Linked DNA regions of Caenorhabditis elegans. The protein of the gene in region 2 interacts with the protein of the main gene of each other region in a pairwise test. Each region holds a gene or a part of one and is shown on either strand. Other genes may lie near its edges.

Region 1 (5,227 bases), on a different chromosome or scaffold from region 2:
CAAACTGTAGTGCTCAGTGCAAATTTAAAGCTCATTTAAAAATGCAATAGATGTGCTTTTAGATGGAACGCTGAAAAAGTATTTGGTAACAATTCCAGCGGAAAAATATTTTGTTAAAACCCTAGACAGTTTTGTAGTAGCTTCATTTTCTCGAATCAAGCGCAGTGACCATAGTTTCAAAATATTTTCCCTTGTTTGGCATACGCTCCTACTTCAAAATTATATTTAAAAATTTAAAACATTATATTCGTGCAACTGGAATTTTAAGAAGGACAACACTTTAAACTTCTCAGTAACGCGAGTTTTAGATGTCGACGTCGGCTCATCTCGCCGATATACAATTATTTACGGCATTTCGTTCAGCTCTATTGATTAGTAACCAAAAACATACGCTTCCATTTCAGGTGGGCGAATTCCGACGATTTTGAGAATTTTACATCATCTGTTCTATGAAAATAACCTACGCAAATACATTGTGATCAAATTTTTTTTTGATGTTTGAATGATAAATGATTTATTGAAATAAGGTCAAATAAATGCGCAGAAATCAGCATGAAAGTTACAAAATGGGAAGAAGATTTTGGGATTTTCAACAAGAAATTGTCACAATATCTAGTTAATTGTTGGGAAGTCGCCTGATTAGGCAGTGCTCTGGCGTTGGATGTGGGTAGCACGTTCCTGAAATTAATATCAATGTTGTAAATATAATGACATTTAATTGTTGATCTCACCTCTCCTTCTTTGTTGAAGAGGATGGTTTGGACGTTGTTTCCGCTTCCGAACGAGTCTTCAGCATCATAGACCAATTGATCTGGTGGTGAGGCAACTCCTTGGTTACGGGCGAAGATTTTGAGGGTCTTTCCGGCACGAAGGACAAAGTCTCTTGGAAGCGTGTAGACATTCTCACGTTTTCCGTCGATACGTCTCTTCAACTTCCACTCACCGATAGCCTGAAAGAGAACAAAAAATATTTGAAACTGTTGTGATTCAAGTTCCTACCTCGTCCTTGGCACGATGTGTGTTCTGGAGGACGATGAACTTTCCATCCGGCGATGCCTCGTGGATAGAAACATTTCCCTTTGCAGAACGCTGGAACGATTGACGGGATGCAGTTTCGCCCTTGACGACTCTCATCGTCTCTGAAAAAGGATGTATGTTTTAATGGAAAAAATTGTCTTTCTGCTACCGGTATCGGTTTCCTGTGTGATAGCATGGGTCTTGACAACCTGTTCGACAAGTTGCTTGAGTCCAGCACGGTTCTCTTCTCCTTCGAGCATCTTTCTGTAGATGGCGATTTCGGCATCCAAAGTTTGTTTGGTATCCAGGAGCATTTGCAATTCGACCATAAGGGCTTGGCATTCCTCACGCATTTTGCGGATTTGGGAATCTCTGTCGTTGAGGGCTGCTTCATAAGATCTCTGATCATCTTCCAATTGGTAGTTGAGCTCTTGAATTTGTTTCTCGAGGAGAGAGTTGCGGCTTTCAAGATCAGCGAGCTTTCCACGCAAATCGCTGAGTTGGGTGCGGAGTCTTTTGACTTCTTCTTTGGCATACCCTTGTTCCATGTTCTGTCTGGCAGACTGCGTTTGGATCTCTTGGACCTTAAGACGATACCAGGATTCCATGTCATTACGGTGAACGTTGTTGACTTGGTCATATTCCTCACGGATGTCACGAATAGCCGAGGAGAGTTCGTTCTTGAAGAACTCGCGGTTTTCTGGAGTAGTATCACGAGAAGCCAAAGTTTGAAGCTCCTTGATCTCATTGTCATGGACACGACGCAAGAAATCAATCTCCTCAAGAAGAGTTTGAACTTGGTTTTGGTAGTCAATACGATTGAGGGTTTCTTGATCCAAGTCGGTACGGGCTCTTTGAAGCTCAGAAAGCAAACGCTGATTCTCTTGCTTGATCCGCTTCACCTCATCCTCAAGCTGAGCAATACGACGTTTCAGAAGGCTAATTTCAGCTTCAAGATTAGAAAGGGTTACTAGAAGTGCGTCGATCTTAGCGCGATCCTGTTCACGGCCCTTGGTGGCATCTTCCAATCTGAAAAATACATTTTGTAGAAAAAGTATAATAACGGTAATATGCTGTTCATAATTTTCAAAACATATGTTCGTACTTTCTGCGCATCTCAGCGAGTTCATCTTGCATCTTCTTGAGTTGACCTTCCATATCCTTGCGTTGCTTATTGGTTTCATCAATCAGCTTTTGAGCATCCTATAATATAGTTTTCTAACCAAAAGTTTCCTTTCTGTATTTTCCTACCACAAGTTCTCCCTCATACATATTACGAATGTTGTGCGTGTCTTTTCCCCATTTGGAACGAAGTGCGTCAAGATCGGCTGCCAATTTTCTATTCTGGGCTTCTAGGAAACGGACCTAAAAAACAACTATTGGGTGTGGTCCATCTTATTCCTATTACACACCTTTTCGATGTAGCTAGCAAGTCGATCGTTCAAATCGCTCATTTCTTTCTTCTCACGTTCACGAGAGTCACGGATGGTTGATGCAGCATTTTGTCCAAATGGCGACAAGCCGGATCCAGCACCTGAGCGCATCTCGGTCACAATTTTGAGCATACGATCTTGGGCTGGAATATGTTGATTTAAATGTTTTGCACAGACAACAATAAACTTACAAGTAACGTTTCCGGTTGTACGCCCTCCGAGCGGAGCTCTAGCTGAAGGTGTTGTGGAAGTGAAAGACATCGCTGCAAATCGTAAATTTCTATTGTGAAAGTGAAAAGGGCCGACTGTACTCGGCAGCTTCGAAATTTCAAAATGAGGTTGTGAGTTGTATGGCAACCCCTGACTGCCGTAATGTGTGACCAAGGAATTAGTCGGAGGCTGACTGTAGAGACAAAAGCGGAGTCTCAACGGTGCGCAAACTAGGTGGGCGTCAAATTTCTTGCACTGCTCCTCACTTTTTATTCAACATTTTCTACTCCTCCTCCTTCATTGCTACCAACCGCAGCTTCCTCCCACACTAATGATAATAGCATGTAGACAAAAGGGATTAAACGAAAATTGCAATTTTTTGAGTTAGTTGAAATTGAGGGCACAAGAAAGGCTTACTCTTTTCAATCACTTCGTAATTGACAGTTCGTGTGGAACTTTGCTCGCTTCGAGCGCTAGAAGCGCTTGATCGTCGCGAAGATGGAAGAGAAACAATATAACCTTCCATAGTCAGAAAATGAAATTTTTTGTTCCTCAACTCTTTTTATACATGGCGGCAGAACAAAACAGGCAATGCAAAATTAATATATTTCAGTATTCTAGACTGTTGTATAAAGAGAAAAAAACCTATGAGTAACCTATGAAAATCTATGAGGAGAAATAGAAAACTCAATCAAATATTATTATTGCCCTTTTCCACGAAAGGAAATGAGATCATAGTTGTTTGCCTATGTATATTTATATTGATTCAAGTCGGTGTTTGGAATTTTTTTGCAAAGGGAGGCGTCAAGAATCACTTTAAAATGGGTGTGAAGTGAGGACGGAACGGCGGCTTCTTGATATCTGGCGCGAATGCGGAAAAAAGAATAGGTGTGAGGGATGGGCGCGTCCTCCAAAAATCATCTCATCCTCAACTCAGTCAACCCTTACGTCGTTACGATTCCTCTCGATTCTACTTTTTTCGCCTATTGGACATGCGTTTTTGCATAAATTCATACGTTTCGAGGCTTTGCTAAAGTGCGAAATGACATTTGAGATTTTTTTGGGTTGAGGTGATTCATTTCAATTTGCTACCGTGCCTACGCACTTTTGTGGAAGAGGAGACAAAAACTAGACAACGCCTCGGAATATATGTTTGTACAAAATTGTTCAAAAATTTGAAGTGAGAAGAAAATTAGCCTTGAATTAACTTTGAGTACTCACGAGTAGTTTATTGATTGATGACTAGTTCAAATGGAATAACGGTGCAAATATGTTTGAAAAAGTTTAGAAACACCTACATATATAAGTTGCGAGAATATGTGTTAGTTGTCTGGTTTTCACAAAAGCGATTAAATCTGGGAACACTCCTATTCTACTTCTGTCACTTTCAAGATTGAATATGGATTCGTTTAAATGAAATTCAAGCAACGGATTGAGCTTTAACTATGTAAAACACTGTATTTTTTCAGCAAACACGGTGTTTTATATTAGCAAGAGTATTTAAATTGCTCAGGTCTAAAAAAAAGTGATGTTTTTTAAACTATATATACATTCAGAAATGATCTACCAAGTTTTTGTAAATAAACTCCTGTTAGATAATTTATTTTGCCGAAGTGAATGCAATTTTCAGCCAGTTACTTACCCGGACGAGTAGTAGTGTACATTTTTATATAAAAAAGTAGTAGGATCTAGTTGCAAAAATATTCACTAGTATAAGATAAGCCTATGCGGATAAATGTGATGCTTCAATGACAATCGGAAAGATATCTCAATAAAAAATTGCGACAAGGCACAAGAAACGAGCCTCTTATTTACCGATGTGCTTGTTCATCTTGCACTCCGTCTTATCTCACTGTTTCATTAATCTTTTTTCTTTAAAAAACGCATGCCTGTAATGTTATTTTTTCAAAGTTTTGAATTTTCAATCGCTGATCAGTTAGATTTGTTAGTCTATGGTAAGCACCTTACCGCGAAATACAAAGGCAAACATTCCGCAACTCACCTCCTGGAAAGTCATCGGAATAATTTAAGTAGTTAAAATGAAGAAACTCACTTTCTCTGGTAATCTCCATCATTTTTGAAATGTTGATTGGTTAGGTACCGCTTCTCACTGAGAGAAGTATCCGTTTGAACGAGTTTCTGGAAAAATGGGAAGATAAACAGTTTTCTCTGCGTTCCAGCATGGCGGTGTACATAAAAAAGATATCTCGGCTCAAACATCCAGGGCTCTCGGCTATTGAACAATTTTCGAAAAGTACATAGTAAAAGGGAGAGGGGTTAAAATGGAACAGAATGATGTGTACAGTAAACAAAAATAAATGGCAGCGGCAAAGAGATGAGGCAGTAGCAAATGCATAGAAAACGGCGGCCCCGTGGCAGGTGAAACTTCATAATTACTGAGGATCATCTACTGTCAACCGGTCTAAAATGAGCGAGAGATCGTGTGAAAGTCGGGGACACTGCGATGGTTGCAGTACAAAAAAGTCGACGCACATTTCATCAGTTTGAGTTGTTTTTAGAACTCAAAATCTCGCAATTCCCACAATTTTAAACCAATTTGTGATGGT
Region 2 (4,922 bases):
ACTACCGACATCCCCATCGTCGCCACAATCGGTTACATAATAATTATCGTTCGCAATCGGGCGCCACTGCCGCCACACATTCACTCACAGACAGTATACTGTTGGGCACTGATGCTTGTTAGTGTGGTACACGACGACGACAACCATAGATAATTCGCTCATTCATCAGAATCTGAGGACGAGATGAGGGCCACGATGATGATGACAAGCGTGTCAAGGTGAACTCGCGTAGTCTTTCCGTCCGTGTTTGCCTCGTTTTCGCGCGCGCACCCCTTCTTCACTGGCGCACCTGGCTTGTGTCCTTTTCATCGAATCGCTGTCCTCTAGATGTCGTTAGTCTCGTTCCTTATTTCATTTAACGTTCAAGGTTCCTAATATTCTCCATAATTTGTAATTCGAAAAACGCTTCGAATTCTCTCATTATCAAAATTTACGATATCAGCTCATGTGCTTTGTAAATTAGTTTCAATCCGCCCAAGATTCATTTCTATTATTGTCATAAAATGATTTTATTTGGTTTTGTTCTGAAAATTCTGAGACATTCTTGATCCACTCATTAAGATCTGAGAATCTTCCGTGCGAGATTTGAAACTTTTTGAATAATCTTTCGTCTATCATCTCTCTAAATATCTACATCTGGATGGCACATCCGGGTGTAAAACTATAAGATGCCAATCGACAATGATGAGGGAGAAACAAAAAAAGAAAGGAGGATTTACTTTTGTTTTCTTTTCGAACATCTGCTTTTGTCCGCGTTTTTTTTCATCCTCTTTCCATTTCCCTGCCAAGTGGGAACAAGTTTTTTGTTGAAAACTTCTTCCTCTCCCCCCTCCTCATTTCCCTCCTTGTCATTTCATTCATTTTCCTCGACAAATTCCATATTGGTTTTGTATAATGATACTTTTAAATTTCTCGAATGTGAATTTTTAAGCATATGCATCCCAGCCTAGAAGTGCCCTGATTTGAATTTTATGAGCTGAGCATGAAGAATATCTGCATCCTCACCTCTGCCGTATAATGTGTGCCAGCCCACGCCTGCACAAATTTTATTGGTCGTTATTTTACGCCGTTGCAATGAAGGTATATCGGTACACCTCAACTACGCACTTTTTGATGCTCAACGGATTATTTGAATTTCAAACTAAGTGAAATCGCTATAGCATTTACATTTATAATGCATTTTGTATTCACAGCGTACCGTTTTGCTATTTACTCAAATAGATTCTTTTCAAAATTCATAAAAGTGGATTGATTGCTCTAAATCGTCTAGTTTAAAAATTTTTTCATTGTATTTTTAAATAAAAATGTAGAAAAATATTATTAAGAAAATACTATCACAGTTTGTTCAAACAATTTATTTTTGATCAACCTCGTCATTCGAACTTCAGCAGGTAGATCAAAAGTAAATTATATGAAAAACCTTGATTGTATCGAAATTTGTAGCATAATGATTAAAGTTTCGTGATTCCTTGCCGTAACCTTTTCGTAGTCAGAACGCGCCAGACAAACCTTCGAATTATCAGAAGCTCAAAAATATATGTTTTTGGTTTATCATGGAACGAAAATATTTCTAATTGGATTCTGGGTTCAATTGCTACTGCTCCGAGGTCATTTCTTTGTGAACATGCATAATATATTTCCTTTGTTTCCCATTCCTCTGCTACACTTTCTCCATTTCCTCCAAAAATTTTGGACGATGCTTTTCGGATCGCTTTTCTTTTGCTTTCTCAAGAATATTTATTGCTTATAAAATTGTTGTTCCTCAAAACTCTATATTACTCTCTTCTAACAAAAAATACAATTTTCAGATAATAATAGTGTGCGTCAGACGGCACACGACGTCAAACACGTCAAACATAACGAACAACAGAAGAAACAAGGAAAGAAGAGTTTCGGCTCGATGGAGGAGCACCATCGACGGCTCCATGTCAAGGCGGAGCGTGCGTCGGTGATAGGAGGAGACATTGTCGACGGAGCATTCGGCAGTTGGGCTCTTCGAGCAGCACGTAGTGAGCATCAACTTAAGCAGCAGAGTAACGAAGATTTAGCTCAGGTTGGTGGAATAAATTACATTTTGTTCAAATTAAATATTTTTGTTGAGAAAAGAAATACAACAGAATTGAAATAATTATTAGCAAGGTTCGAGAAATCTAGAAAAAAAATCGAAAATTAAAAAGCGAAAATTTTCCAATTTTTTGTAGCAAATTAACAATAAAATTAAATTAAAAAAAAAATACTTTGTGCATGTTGATTTAAAAAAAATCATGCAATTTTCTTTAAAACAAAGGGAAAATGACCAAAATATTGAGCTATTTTTCGAGATATAAGAAAAAAATTTTTTCGATTTTAGTAAGAATCGAAAAAACGACATCCTTGTTTGGAATATCGTATTAAAAAGATTTACCAAAAATGCTAATAACTATTTCGAGCTCTGTTAAATTAATTCTGACAATTTTACTTTTTACAGACGTTTAGCTGACGCTACTCGTAGAATTAACTGTAAAATGTAAGAAACAGAAAATGGAAAAAAAATTCCTGATTCCATTAGCGTTCTATTCTGAAAGCTATTTAAGTAAAATTGGTAGTAGAAAAAGCAGAATGATTAACCATTTTCTCCTTTTTTCGCCATAAAGAATTGGATTCAGTGCAGTCAGAATCACGGCTTTTCTCCTCGTTTGCATCTTTCATAAAATCGGCTCCGCGCTTTCCTGCTTCTTTCCGATTACCCATTTTCTTTTATCCGATTTTATGTGCTGTACGATGAGAAAAGCCGAAATTGGTGAAAAATAAATACGGAATACGGTAGCTTGATAAATTTCAATTGTCCCGCCCCGTTCTCTAGTATTCTTTTTCTTTTCGTTGGAACAGTAAATTATTTGTAATTTCAGAATGCTCGAATCTCGGCATTGCTCGGTGAGATGCGTCCAAGAATGTCAGCGATGCCACCAAATGGACATCAACAGCAATATCAGCCACAGTTGAGAAGAAAAGCAAATACGACAAATATTGTGGATGTATCATCACAAGTTCCATCAGGTAAGGAATATTTATTACTCAGATGCAAAATTTTTCTATTTTCGCTCCAAAAAAATACGGTACACCGTCTCAAAGTTTCCGATGTTCTTGAAAGCAAGCGAGTGTGCGCCTTTGAGGAGTACTGTAGTTCCCAAGTATTTTTTGTTGCGAGATATTTTCGAATGTTTCATAAGTGTAAATCTTTAAAATTATTGAAAAATATGTCAACATATATTTTTTAAAATTCATAAAATCTTGAAGAAAAAAATCAGCAAAACATAATTTCTACACGTGTTTTTTGTCGAAGAAATTTAATTTTTTTCCTTACTAACCAAAGGTGCCATCGAATTTTTTTCAGAGCCGATCAAAAACGAACAATCGAATAAAAAATGTTTAGAAGATTAACAATAAAATTCAATTTTTAAAATCAATTTTTGTTTTTTTGTTTGTAAATAAAAAAGAACAATTTTATTTTTAATATTTTTTTTTGAAATATCGGTTTGAATTTAAAAAAAAAACTGCAATTATTCGATTTTTCTTAAAATCAGAAATCAATTTTTTCGATGATTGTGAAAAGTCGACACCCTTGCGCCCAAAGAAGAATCCTGAGATTTTCATATTTCATTCTGAGAATTTAAATTTTTTTGGCAATTAAAAAAATTGTCAAATTACCGCCCAACTACAGTAGTCCTTAAAGACTCTTTCAATCTAAATAACACGTCTGTCACTTTGTTACCGGCTGCGGTTTTTATAGAAAAATTTGAGAAATATTGCATCTGAACAAGTTATTAAAGGAAAATTGGATGTTCTAATCTTTTAATAGAATTTTCAGCACGAAATGCAATTTACGGGTCTTGGCAAGATCGTCATCGTCCAACGCGTCTGTATGGAAGTCAACTTGTTTCGTCTTCTTCAACTCTTCCCAAATATGATCAATTGTATTGCAATACAGCGTCACCATTAACTGGAAACGGATCAACCAATACAATTGCCACAACTGGAATTCGCAGAGAACCACCTGAATATGGGTATGTATTCATTCTGCCTTGTGTCGTTGTGATCCCTAAAATACAAAAAAAGAAACGTATTTTCAATCAGAAAATCACTACAAAATTGTGATTTAAGAAAGAGCGAATTCCTATTTTCTCTGTTAAAATTCTAACATTTTTTTTTTCATAAAATTTTTTTTTTTTTAATATTTTTCGGCAAGAAAAACAAAACCATTTCGATTTTCCGGAAAATCGAAAAATCGAAAATAATGATCAAAAAGTTAACAATAAATTCAAATTGGAAAACCGACATCCTTGATGTGCACCACTATTTGAAACAAACTTTTCCCACTTTTATCGCTTATTTAAAAATTATTTTTAAGCTTCTCACAAAAATTATAATTTCTACGTTTAGAAATGTTGGTCGCTCGGTGTCAACTTGGCAAGTTACAAACTCGGAACATCGTCCATCATTGCAAGCAGGATGGTTGAAAAGTTCACGTCCATTAGCTCGCGGAGCACTCTCACCGGCTGCATATTTCCGTGATTTGGAGAATAGACATGGAAGTGGAGCGAGCTCTCCGATCGTTGGAGGATTATCAGTTGTGGCGGTACCGATTACCCAGCGTCATGCTCCAACTGCTGGACTTGCACCTATTAGTGATGATGTGAGATTTCTCATATAATTTTCACGTTTTATATTTTTTTATAATTTTTTTAGATATCCACTTCCAAAGTATCATTGGATACGGAGAATCAACAATTGAATAATGAAGACTCTGATAAAATATCTGGAAGTGCTTTATCCCGTAACACGCCTAGACAAGCAAGTTTTATGGCTGCAATGCAGAGGCATCCATTGAAAGAAAGTAAGTAAAATTCTTCTCATTTAACGCGATCTTTTAGAACTTCAAAATT
Region 3 (4,955 bases), on a different chromosome or scaffold from region 2:
AATTTTGGAAAAAAACGGTGAAAATTGCAATTTTTTATCATTTTCTCAGAAAAATTCAAAATTTGGGCATAGCTTCCGCATCTCCGGTGACAAATGTGCTCTATTGCACAAAGTGTTGGTTGGAATACGGTATTTATTGCATGTTTCAGCCGAGAATACCGATATTCCAGCCATCAATTAGGATAGCCACACAAGCCACAGAAATTCATTTTTAATGGCTTCCGAAGCTACAGTAACCCTTGCTTAATGGAAACTCTGGCAAACTCAGAATTTGCTGAAAATTTTGCTCAAAACTTTGGAAAAATAAATTTTTCTAAACATATCTACTTGAACTTCTAAGCGTGAAATTAATTTTCCCATATTAACGCTTCTAGTTTTTTGTCACTTTTTTTTTCTGAAACCCCATGCTTTCCACTACCTTAGAGCTCTCCTCAGTCCTTGGATCCAGTGTTACCAGGAGACGTGCGGTCTGTTGTATACTTCCAATGAAAAATCCATAATTCAACACATTCTTGCCAGTTGAAGCAAGTGTTGGCACTCCGGGCGTTGTTGAGCTTTCCGAGACAACTAGGCGTCTGAAATTAGGAAATTTAGGAAATTTAGCAACATTTATTTAATTCATACGTTACATTAAAATTGTAAATTTCAAAAGAGTTTAGAAATGAACTAAATTTTCTTATTTTTCTCCAATTTTCACTGAATTTCTACTATTTTTCGCTGGAAATTATTTTATTACCTCAACAAATCAGCTGCAATCTGTCGTGTCATCATACAATCGTCATCTCCAATAGTAAGAACATTAAAAGTACACATAAATGTATCATGGACATTCTCAGTACAGTACACCATATCTCGAACTTTCTCGTCCAAATATCCAATTAGTACCAGGCTTGAGACGACTGCAAATACTTTTTTTTTCGATTTGTTAAAAATTGTTATTTTTTGAATTTCAATTTTTTCCGAGTTTTTAAAAAATAAAACAATTTTTTGTTTTTTGAAATTTTTTTTTTTCGAATTCTTCAAAAATAAAACAGTTTTTCGATGTTTTTTCTTTTGCGAATTTCATGAAAATAAAACAAGTTTTCGGTTTTTTTTTTAGAATAATTTTTTTTCGAATTTTTTGAAAATTCAATTTTTCGATTTTTTTTCTAAAAATACAATATTTTGCGAATTTTTTAAAAATAAAATTATTTTTTCGACTTTTTCGAAAACTAATTGTTTTTCAGTTTTTTGGAACTACTGAAAAATGAAAAAAAATTAATTTTTAAAAATATTCCGTAAATCAAAAAATTCTTAAATATCAATAATCCAAAAATCAATTTCGGTGGTCCTAATTTCAAAAAAAAAATTTTATTGGAATTCCAACTATGTCATTAATTCAAATTTTCATGTTTTCACTAAAAATTCTGAAAACTCGATTATTCCAAAAATTACCGATTATCCTCGCGTTGTGCTGTAGTAATTTCATCAATTGCCTGCTAAACTTCTTGTATGACGTAGATATTTTTATTCGTTTACACGCAGATTTCGATGCAGAAGCCAAATTGCACAGTATTGCAATACAGTATGGCATCCATTCTGGTTCGGGTTCTCGTATTCTGAAAAATGTTTGAAAAATTAGAAAAATTGATCTAATTTGCGAGCAAAAAAAATTTTAGCCCGAATTTTAAAATTATCGTAAAATTTTTGTTCCTATAATTTAAAGAAAAAATCTTTTAAAAATCCCACAAAATTCTATAATTGAATTTCTGTGAATTTGCGTACTTTTGAAGCCACAGTAACCGGAATTTCGGTTTTTGTTGATTTCCTTGCTGGAAATTAGCTTCTGAACTACAGTAACCAGAAAATTGCAAATTTGTCGAAAAAAAATGTTAGAAACTTGCTTTTTGTAGATTTTTTAAATAAAAATTTCTACCAGTCGCAGAATATGCAAAATATATCAATTTTTGCAATTTTCGCCCTCAAACTCACACTTCTTGCATTAAAAACGATATAAGCTCGTTTGCCCAATGTTCCAATGGCACATTCTTTTCATAACTTAAAACTTGTAATAATCTGAGAATATCAATCATATTTTGTGGTCCTAATTGTTCTCGAAGTGATGCTTTTAGACATGAAAATACTGCTCCAAGAAGTCGAAGCTCTCCGGCCATAAATCGACGAATCGGTATATTATGATGGGCAATTGAGAAGAGAAGTCGGTAGAATTTCGAGCGTGTTACAATGTTTGTTGTGGAGGCATCTGGAAATTGCGCGTCAAATATGGTGTATTGGGTACGCAATGGGAAAATTAGTGATTTTTACAGAAATTTGAAAAAAAAATTGAATTTTCGGCTTTGAAAACTGAAAAATTAGAACATTTTCGTGAATTATTGAGGTCCGGTGATCACCGCGGTGAGTCAAAAACAAAATTTATTTTTCGAAAAACGATTTTTTTAAAAATAGAATTTCCATAATTTTTGGGTCAGGTCCAAAAACTCACTTAAAATCACTGGGGTATACGTCAAAAACTCTTTCAATTGCTGATTTTTCAGCGATAACCGTGTGGCTCGATCCATGTCTGCCACGTAGCGGATCATTCCGTTAAGCGCTTCATCGAGGCGAGTTGTGTTGTCAGCACTGCTATCCGATACATATCTGGCAGCGGAAGTAGTCGCCAACGAGAAAATTGCGTCAGTCTGGAAATTCTAGCGTTAGAGCAGGGTTGCATAGCACTGAAAATTCAAAAAATTGGATTTTTCCACAGAGCGCGCTTCCTCGTAAACGGAAATTTGAATTTTTCAAAGTTTTATTGCTCGCGCGCTTGCTTACAAATCCATTTTATTAGAGCACGTTGGCATTGTTTTCGCATATTTTCTCAGTGGGGCGCACTTGCTCACTGCCCCCTTATATACCTCATTGATATTCGGCGGTGGTGGATCTCTTGCAAATCTCTGTGACGCTCGAAAACTGCTCCTTTCCATAGTTTTCCATCAAAAAAAATCGCTTCCTAGGTTATTAATTGAGTAGAATAGGTGAGTAGGTATGAGGAAATTGCTGAAAAAGTACCTTATACACCAGATTTTTCGCGCTAATGTAAGGTCTATTAAAAGTACAAGGGAACAGTAGTAACTGCGCTAATTAAGCGTTCTAGACATAAGTGGATCAACAAGAACGGATTCGGAGGGTTTGAGCAAATACCAAAAGGACATTGATATCTTTGCTAGGGATTTACGCTTATAAATAGCAAAAATCTTGAGATTTTCCTAAAAATTTGGGCATAGCTTCCGCATTTTCGGTGACAAATGTGCTCTATTGCACCGAATTGTTGGTTGGAATACGGTATTTATTGCATGTTTCAGCCGAGAATACCGGTATTCATACCATCAATTTGGATAGAAGCACACAAGCCACAAAAAATGATTTTTAGTGGCCCCGGTAGCTACAGTAATCCTTGTCTAAATTGGAAACTAGGGAAAATCAGGATTTGGAACCTTTTTGCTGGGAAAACTGCTCAAAACTATGAAAAACTAAGCTTCATTCTATTGGATTTTCAGTCATGAATACCAAAGTTCATATCATCGAACTGAATAAAATCACACAAGTAAAAATATTTAAATTCCACTGTAGCGTTCAAACTAGAGCTAAATCTTAGAATTTCTGTATGTCTAGGATTTATCTAAAATTCCAAAACCGAATTTGAATATCTACGAGATGACTAGCAAATCGGAGATTTGCTAGGCTTCGCAGTTTGGTTCGGCGTAGAGTAACTCAAGAATTTAGTTTAATGATAATTTTATAAATAACAGTTTCCACTTTTCAAATCGCACTTAACGGTTCCCCACTGTTTCTACATGTATTCGGGCAAAAATAGGCTTGACGGATCTCCAACACTTCTTCGTGTATTCGGACATGCGGCCCTCAACTCGGGTTTATTGGGCTCAGAATAGGCTTAATGGCTGTTCAATACTTTTGTGTATTCGGGCCTGCGGCCCTCAATCCGGATTACCTGACCTTTCCAAAAACAGACGTAGTTATGGAAACATACGTCTCATAGAAGGCCTCCAGCCTGCTCTGCTGGGAGTAGGGATAGAAAAGGTCTAAAGTTTCTAAGAGTAAGAGGGAGGTCTTCATCCCTGATTTTTGGGTTTGAGTGAAAAACAATAGCATTGCAGGCCTCCAGCCTGCCCTGCTGGAAGTGAGGTTTAAAGTGACCAAAATGTCCGAGAAGTGCGGTCCTCAATAGGATTAGAGAAAAAGTAAAAATCTCGAAAAATCTTTAAAATTGAACTTCCTCACGTTATTAAAATAAGAAATTAAAATTATCGAATTCATCCCCAAAAATAAAGAAAGAGAGAGTGGTAGAAAAGTTTTTCACGTTTAATCCATTCTTTTAATTTTGCAAAATTTGAATGATGGCCTACATTTTGGAAAGTTGGTCAATTTTTTTCCAAATAGTTTCAAAAAATTGGTAATTCGAAGTTCTATCTTGTGCACAAATTGGAACCAAATGCCAGAAAAACTGAAGATTTGGGACTGAAAAACATAAAACTCTTCAGTACAAAGAAAATATTCAATTTTCGCGGTCTCCAGAAACCTGCGCAAATCAGTGTTCTACCCTTCCCAAAACCAATCCTCTCAATAATGACCATGGTGGGGCAACTATTTTTGAGTCATTCGCACTTAGTGAATGCAAAAGCGCCAGCTATGAGCCAAGTTATTAAAGCTCAAAGTTTGTACATTTTTATCGGACACCCCATTACGACAACGTGCCCTTATTTTTTATTTCTGTCAAGAATGCAATTTCAGGATTTAATATAGGAAGAGGCAGAGAAGTTGAGTTAAATGGGAAGGAATAAAGGGGATTACTCAAGGACGCCTCCATCATCTTCTTCAGTTCAAAAGGGGAACAATTATCGCGCTACGTATACATCAAGAGATAGTACTGGATATAGGAGAGACTCAGACAGGAAAAG
Region 4 (7,743 bases), 310 kb from region 2:
TTGTTGTTGCTTGGAGTGAAACAGTTTCAACAAATATCACCGTCAAAGAAGCATGTGCACTTATTCAACAAGCAGATACACAAGGACGCGGAAAAGCAACAATCCACGAGTTTATCACAATGTGTCAGACTGTATAACTTCCAATATACGCATTATATCTGCTTCATCCTTCATTCTCACTTACCATCTTTAATATTGATCTCATTTATCGTATTTGCTATTTTACCATTCGATTGATTGCATTATTTTTTGAAAAAAATGGGCTTTTGAGAATCTTAGAGCAATGAACCCCTACATAAAGTTTTTGTAACAAAATTCGAATGAAAAATTAGTTGAAAAACTGAAAATTTGAAAATTATATATTTTTTTGTTTTTCCTGGACCGTTTTACTACTTACTAAAAAAGTAATTTTAAAGGTAGAGTAGCGCAAGTGGGGATTTTGTCTAAATGCACTTAAAATGATCCAAAACAACCGAATATCATAATAAAACACTCCAAAAAATTTGAGATATTTCATAATTTCCGGTCAAAGTTTTAGCAAATTGCCAAAAATTTTGAAAAATACGAACTTTTGAGGAAATTGAAAGAAACATCGCACGTTTAGACCCCTACAATGTTTTAATACAAATAATTTAAACAAAATTAAAACATAAAAAATTAAACAATTTTTTTTTGGTCGACTTCCAAAATTAAGAGTGGCAGGAACTGAGTAATTGCCACTTTTTGACAGTAAATAAAAATTTTTCAAAAATTTAGTTTCAAAAAAAGTACATAATTGGAAGTGTTGTTTTTCTTGTGGTACGGTACGGGCCAACTTTTTACTCCGGAATTGTCTATCCAATAGGAATCAGAGAGAACGAGTGCAACTTTTGCTTCGAATTATCCACACTGGATATATGATTAACCATTACGGCCAGAGCATCGGCGAGTGAGGCGAGTGGCGTATCCAACCTGAAATCGCTGTCAAAGGTAGAGTTCTCGTATGGTTCAAAGTCAAAGGTGTCGAATACACTGAGTATGTGTACGTCTGAAACAGAAACAATAATCTGTTGGGCACCAGTTGGATGCGCCACTCGCCTCACTCGCCGATGCTCTGGCCGTAATGCTTAATCATATGTGGATAATTCGAAGCAAAAGTTGCACTATTTCTCAAGGATTCCTATTGGATACAAAGATCGTACTGAAAATGTCGGGTGACATGTTGTTGCATCTGCTCTGGTTAGCGGCATCGACAGTAATCGCAATTGGTGGGGTTACTGTAGTCTTGTATACATCTGGAAAATTGATTGGAAAATACCAGTAATTGAAGCAGGCGCTGATTATCAAGTTTTTATTATTATTGATATTTCAGGACTTGCTCTGACTGCTGGTTGCACAATTATTTGCGGATATTTATGGTTTTAAAAAGAGTAAAAATTTCTATTTTTCAAATTCTACCTGATGGCCGAAGCCTCTTAATGGACGCGAATTAGGAATAATTTTTGTACCGGAATTTCACTAAAAGGCGTGTGACACCAAGTTTCGAAAAAAATAAGGTTGCCATGTGTTTCAAAATTGTCTGTAAGAGAGGTGTTCAAGATGTTTTAAGGTGGTTTAATTAATTGAATTTTCACGTGATATTTTGCAATTTCACGTGAACTGTTGTTTTCAACAAGAACGCAAAACGGGAGAACTTGAACACGTGGTGCCACGTTGCAAAACACACAGGGAAACTTTTGGCATTTCTTCGTTCGTTCTATTGAAAATTAGTTTCAATTTTGGTTTAATCAAGTTATGAAGGCAATTATTCATGATGATACTGTCGTTCGTGAAATCGAGGTACGTTTTTTTCAAATAATTATGATTGAAAAATATCAAAAATTTCGTTTTCAGGGACAGCGTGTGCAGGTGCTTCAAAAGTTTGCCGATTTTGAACTGAAAGCTATTAACAAACGAAGTTCGATCATCCAATCGCGTCAACTGCAAGTCTACCTCAGGTTATTATCATGTCAATCATTGTTTTAAAAATAAAAATGTAAATTTATAGGTCAGCGGCTGAGTTCAAGCAGGTTATCGAGTCACTGATTGAATCATCTGAAGCAGTAGTTACTAGTCAATGTTCTGAAAGTTCCATTCGCGGACAGAAAGTTATTGGGCGTCTACAACAAGAAGCTGATGGAAAGCACAATAATTTGCCAATGTTGGAGAACGAGGCCGCCCGTCTTTTGAAAGAAGGTCACTATGCTTCGGATGAGATTCAGGCAGAGTTCAAAAAATTTAAATACAAATGTTCTAGTATTTTTTTTTTCAGAAGACCTTCAACAATGTTCTATCTCGATGGGAGTATCTGCTGAAGCTTCTCGCTTTGAAATGGCGCCAACTTGAAAAGGAGATTGAATCCATTGAATTCAAAAACAAGTGTGATTCCATTGTTGACTGGATTTTGAAAATAAAAGAATCGGACGAATCTGGAAAAGAAATTTTCGACGAAATTCGGAAGTGTTCCATGGTTTGGAATGAAATATCTGCTACCTTCCAACAAATGCTTGATCCCACTGCAACTGATACGAGCAACTATGAAAAAGTGCATGAAACTTGGTCCAACTTCCAGGAATACATCGATTCTCTACACAAGAAGCTTAGCGAAAATGAGCGCTTCCAAAAGTTTGTTGATAATGCAGAAGATTTGATCAAATGGATGGATGACAAGGAGAAAGAGATTTGTGAGAAGTATTCAAAAATGGATTTTGAAGTTATGATGAAGTATCGGAAAACAGTTGAGATTGAAATGAAGAGTGTAGAGCAACGGATTAAAGATCTCAAGGAACAATTTGTTGGTATGGAAAATGATAATCTTCGGAACATCCCGGATCCGAAGAATCACGTCATCGATGTTGAGCAACGTTTTGAGTCATTCCAAGCTTTCGTTCAAAAGTGGAAAACCGATATAGAGAACTCTGCCGATGCCGACAAATTGATGAAAGAAGCTGAAAACATCTGCTGTTGGTCATCTGAAAAAATTGAAGATTTGAAGATAATGGCGACTTCAGATACGCCGGATTGCGATGAAATTATCATGTGGATTGAAACAAATAATTTTGATTTTAATTCTTGGGATAATGTTGTTGTTCAGTTCCTTGCAAGTTCTCAGGTAAACAGATCCCCAACCTTGTGAAATTAATAATAGTTTTTTAGGAACTTCTAAATAAACAGAACAATGGAAACGTTAAACAAGAAGTTGAAAGAACAACTGAACTTTATGAGTTGGCAAAGAGAACTATGAAGACTTGCAATGAGTTTTTGGAGGATCGTATCCAAACTATCAATATGGAGAAGCTCATCTTTCAAACTCATCAAAAAGCTGTCATTCTTGCATCATTTCTTCAAAATCACGAAGAAAGCCCGGAAGATATGAACGCTGAAGATATTGAAAAGGAGATTCGCGTAATCGATGGCATCACTGTTCGTTGTACTTCCGTTGTTGAGCAGATCGAGAATATTGAGGACGAGCTGCGTCAGAAGCCAGAACAACTCAACCAGCTGAGCGTATACGCGTCGAAACAAGTGAACGATTTAAACGAGATGAAAGAAGTTCTGAAAACGACTGTCAATTCTAGAAAAGCTATCCTACAGCGTCTTCTCGATGTCACGTACTTTCTCGATAACTGTTGTGAAACTAGAAAACACACTGATACCATGCTCAGCAACGTGAAAAGCAGTAGAGTCAAGCTCGAAATCGTGCAACCTATTAAGGATCAGCTGGATTCTTTGAAAGTAGAGATGGTGGATATGATGTTGGATGATCAGCAAAAGAACATGGCGAATGAAGAACTCAGAAAAACTTATGAAAATCTGAAAAAGATTGAAATGGAAGTCGGTAGACAGGCAAGCCAGAAAGAAGCTAGAAAGGCAGCTGACAGAACAGAAGCCTTCGTTGGAAGAGTACAAAATTGGATTGATAACAATCAGGTATTTATATCTTATGAAAGACTAATGAAAATGTATTCTTTTTTTCAGATTCAGGATGATACCGATATCGTTTCTGAAACTGTGAATCTCCGACGTACTACCACTCATTATCAACATCTGTTGTCAATCTGTGCTTCGTATAAGAAATCAATTGATTCAAAACTAGAAGAGTTGGCCAACGTTTATACTGATAATGATCCAAGATGCCTTCTCGAAGGAATTCAGAATTCTGTTGAAAACTTTGAAGTGAAGATTCACCAAAAAGTAGATGATACAAAGAAACTTTTGCACATCACTGAAAACATGAACGAACTGAATTCACAAAACGAATGGATCAGGGCTAAAATCAAGTCGCTAAGTGCGGAACCTCTCTGGGATTCACTGTTAATTGCCCAGAAAATGAGAAGACGCCACGATAACGATTTCGAAGAAATTGCAAATCGTCGAAAACAAATTACTGAGGTCCTAATAATTGTTTGTTTAGTTATAATAAGATTTTTTCAGGTAATCCAGAAGAGTGCGACAACGAAAGATCAACCGATACTTCTTGAGATTGAACAAAATTGGGATCGAATGAAGGATTTGTTTGACGAACGAGGAGGTGTTCTTGAAAGAATTATCAAATTGTACGAATATGATGAAGAGTCATCGACAACATCAGAATGGCTTCGTGAAAAAATGATATGTGCCGATACAATCGAACCTAAAGAAGACGAATCATTCAATGAAGTTATGGTCAAAAAGTTGGAAGCCTTGACTGAGGAAGTTGAGAATTACAAACCTAGAATCGTTGAAACACATGCTCTTCTTGGTACGTTCCCATTTTTGCACAGATGTCTAAGATTATAGTTTTTTCAGAAGACGCACTGGTCACTCCAAACACAAAAGATTCTACCTCTCAGCAAACAATGAAATTGAAAGCTGTACTGGCTCGAAAGCAGGGAGAAATTGAATCTGATTACAAAGCATTGAAGAAACTTGTGGAGAGAAAGCTGAAAACACTCAAAGCAATTCTACAGGATGCAGACATTTCTCATCAAATTGCTGATATAGAGCAGTGGATTGAGGTTGAGCAGAATCAGTTGAACAGATATTTGGCATCCGATTCCGATGAGCTGCCCACAAAGTTAGATGATGTAATGACGAATATTCAAAGAAGACGTTCCAATCTCACCGATATCAAGTGCAATGTAGTTGGACAAGTACAAATGCAAAAGATTGACGACGCATTCGGTATGCTTGATGTTTTCTCGTTTGAAGTCCACCGTATTCGCCAAAAAGCATGCCGTCTCGAGATATTCAAGAAGTTGGAGAGCCAGACTGAAGATGTGATTGACGCCATCCAAATGAAACTTGAAGAAATTAATGTTTCTCAAAGCACTAGTAGAAAGCGACAAGTTGCTGGTGATGATCTGTCGAACCTCGCCGGTGATCTGGAAACACTCAGAAGACGCGTCGTTGAAGCTCTTGACAGATCAAAGGAAGTGAGAGCAGCCAATGCTGATTTGGCTCCACAAGTGTATGACACCGAAGAAAGACTTGAAAAGCAGTGGACGGATGTTAGTAAGGCCTATGAAAATCATAAAAAACGAATGGAGCGCTGTAAAATTCTTTCCGAATTAGACAATGAGATGATCAATATGGAGCAATGGATTGATACGTTCAACGAGGAGGTTACTGTAGTTATTGGAAGTATCCATGATGGTCTTGGAGTACAAGTTGGTTTAGAATCCATTGATACGTGGAGGTAAGATTGATCAGACTTTTTAAAGCATTTCAATTTCAAATTATTTCAGAGAAGAACTATCTCATCGTGTGGATCAACTTGGAGGTGTCAAAAACTCTCTTTCCTCTGTTGGCAATGCAATCACAGAACAAGATAAAATGGATCCTTGGCTCGAGAGAGTGTCTAATATTGAGAATAATCTAGTGAAAGCTCGTGAAACAATCGACACGAAACAGGACGACCTCTGCAGATTCGCGGATATTCTAGGCGCTGAGCGGGATTGTGAACGACTCTATTCGTGGGCTTCTGGCAAAAGACATCAGTTGGAGACAGAAGCAACAATGTGTGATGCAAAGACATTGGTTCGGAGAATGAATGAAGTGGAAAAGATGATGATGAGTAGAATAGGTGAAGTTGATCAATTGCGAGATTTTTTGGATAATCTGAAAGCATCAAAAACGTCCGACACTTTCCAAACAACTGAGCTGGAAAATAAATTCGAACTGTTGGATGTGGAATGGAACCATTTGGAAGAAGAATTGAGAAGGAGAGAAGTAGATTTGAATGATTCCATGTCACAGATTCTAATCGATGAGCAATTTGACACAATTCGACAATGGATTAAGGAACGCACCGAAGCACTAGAAGCTGATGTGGAAGTCTCGAACAAGACAAAGCCTGATGATATTGAAAGAATGCAAAAGAGACACGATGAGCTAGCTTCCGATATCAACGATTATCACACAATCTATGAAGATTTTCTCAACAATGGCCAGGTTGAAGAGGAAAAAGTTCAAGTAATTCGTCACCTATGGAGCAGCCTCATTGAATCGTCAACAACACGCCAGAAATCGCTTGCACAAGAATGTCAAAAAAGCCGCCTTTTTGAACTTCTAGATGGCATGAGCATTTGGCTGATTGATGCTGAAACAGATGTTCACTCCACTACAAACTTCATTGGCTTGTATAACTCTGTAGATGCTGAAAAAGCTTCACGTCTTTTGGTATCTCTAGGAGAGCAAGCTGGAGAAAAGGATGATATCTTGATACGTATTCAATGTGATGAATCTGTGGATGTTATTGTGGAGAAGTTGCGTAACGGAATCTCACAGTTGCAAATGCTAATTAAAGCAAATAATGAAGATTTGGATGTCTGGAAAAGCATGCAAAAAGTTGTCACAGCAATTGATGATGAGATATGTTGGTTCAAGTTAGTTATTATTGTTTTGATCCTCATACTTTATATAACAATTTCAGAGAGATCAATGTAATCTTCTCAAGTACAAACGTTGGTAATGATGTTTCTTCAAATGATGTACTTAAGCGGAAGCATCAACGTCTTCAACTGGAAACGCAGCGTCGAGAACAAAAAGTGGCAAAAGTCGTCTATCTCACAACTGAGCTAGTGTCAAGTCATCGACGTCCATCCCTTGAATATAAATTTGTCGAAATCGATGAGAAAGTGGCTGAATTGACAGAACTACTGGAGAGCAATCGTCAAATTGCGGAGATTCGTACGAACCGGCTCGAAAAGTGGACGGAGTACTTTGTGGTGATTTTAAAAACACTTAATTATTTTTAAACTATATTTTCTTCAGACAATGAATGAAATCCGTGAGAAAGAGCAACTTCTCGATCAAATTCTCGATCTCAAAACAGGCCTACCAGAAACAGTGCTAGCTGATGTTGAACGAAAGCTTCAAGTTTTGGAAACAGTTGGAGATCATATGGACACATTGACGATCAAAGCTGAACAGATGTCAGATGATGAAGTGATTCGAACGAAGGTTGCTGTAACAGCAATCGATCAATTGCGAAAGAAATGGTTGAAAATGAATGAAGAACTGAAGAAAATGCATCAGAAGATCAAGGAGTCAATTGAATTCACAAAGTTTGTTTCTACATGCGACACTGGTATTCAATGCATTCGTGAGCAGGAAGAGAAGATCGGAAATCTGGTCAGGCATCAGAAACCTGCCAGCAATTTTGAAAACACCGCATATCATTCTACCATGACTTTCGTTGAAACCTACACCAAAGATACATTTGAGAAGCTCAAAGTTGTATGC

What was found.
Region 1: the proteins of pac-1 (region 2) and ifa-1 interact in a two-hybrid assay, tested with the Caenorhabditis elegans proteins (one large-scale study listed by BioGRID).
Region 3: the proteins of pac-1 (region 2) and cip-2A interact in a two-hybrid assay, tested with the Caenorhabditis elegans proteins (one large-scale study listed by BioGRID).
Region 4: the proteins of pac-1 (region 2) and spc-2 interact in a two-hybrid assay, tested with the Caenorhabditis elegans proteins (one large-scale study listed by BioGRID).

Annotation. Positions count from the first base shown.
Region 1 is NC_003284.9:11,270,756-11,275,982, reverse strand, and holds ifa-1 (Intermediate filament protein A), read right to left. Parts: upstream 3,187-5,227; coding exon 3,078-3,186; intron 2,714-3,077; coding exon 2,642-2,713; intron 2,594-2,641; coding exon 2,430-2,593; intron 2,383-2,429; coding exon 2,269-2,382; intron 2,221-2,268; coding exon 2,123-2,220; intron 2,047-2,122; coding exon 1,187-2,046; intron 1,140-1,186; coding exon 1,000-1,139; intron 951-999; coding exon 732-950; intron 679-731; coding exon 640-678; 3' UTR 501-639; downstream 1-500. UniProt on the Caenorhabditis elegans protein: Cytoplasmic intermediate filaments make up the structural component of the cytoskeleton providing mechanical strength to cells.
Region 2 is NC_003281.10:8,493,210-8,498,131, forward strand, and holds the start of pac-1 (GTPase-activating protein pac-1), read left to right. Parts: upstream 1-1,900; coding exon 1,901-2,053; intron 2,054-2,888; coding exon 2,889-3,036; intron 3,037-3,847; coding exon 3,848-4,043; intron 4,044-4,419; coding exon 4,420-4,672; intron 4,673-4,725; coding exon 4,726-4,876; intron 4,877-4,922. UniProt on the Caenorhabditis elegans protein: GTPase-activating protein for members of the Rho subfamily including Rac1, RhoA and cdc42 and other Ras-related subfamilies including let-60.
Region 3 is NC_003280.10:270,931-275,885, forward strand, and holds the start of cip-2A (CIP2A N-terminal domain-containing protein), read right to left. Parts: upstream 3,043-4,955; 5' UTR 2,964-3,042; coding exon 2,895-2,963; intron 2,679-2,894; coding exon 2,483-2,678; intron 2,243-2,482; coding exon 1,972-2,242; intron 1,599-1,971; coding exon 1,435-1,598; intron 900-1,434; coding exon 737-899; intron 576-736; coding exon 419-575; intron 1-418.
Region 4 is NC_003281.10:8,180,160-8,187,902, forward strand, and holds the start of spc-2 (SPeCtrin), read left to right. Parts: upstream 1-1,721; 5' UTR 1,722-1,773; coding exon 1,774-1,818; intron 1,819-1,872; coding exon 1,873-1,976; intron 1,977-2,026; coding exon 2,027-2,240; intron 2,241-2,290; coding exon 2,291-3,130; intron 3,131-3,174; coding exon 3,175-3,948; intron 3,949-3,996; coding exon 3,997-4,410; intron 4,411-4,452; coding exon 4,453-4,759; intron 4,760-4,806; coding exon 4,807-5,695; intron 5,696-5,744; coding exon 5,745-6,884; intron 6,885-6,931; coding exon 6,932-7,226; intron 7,227-7,272; coding exon 7,273-7,743. Other genes in the region: putative calcium-binding protein C50C3.5, read left to right, coding at 1-137.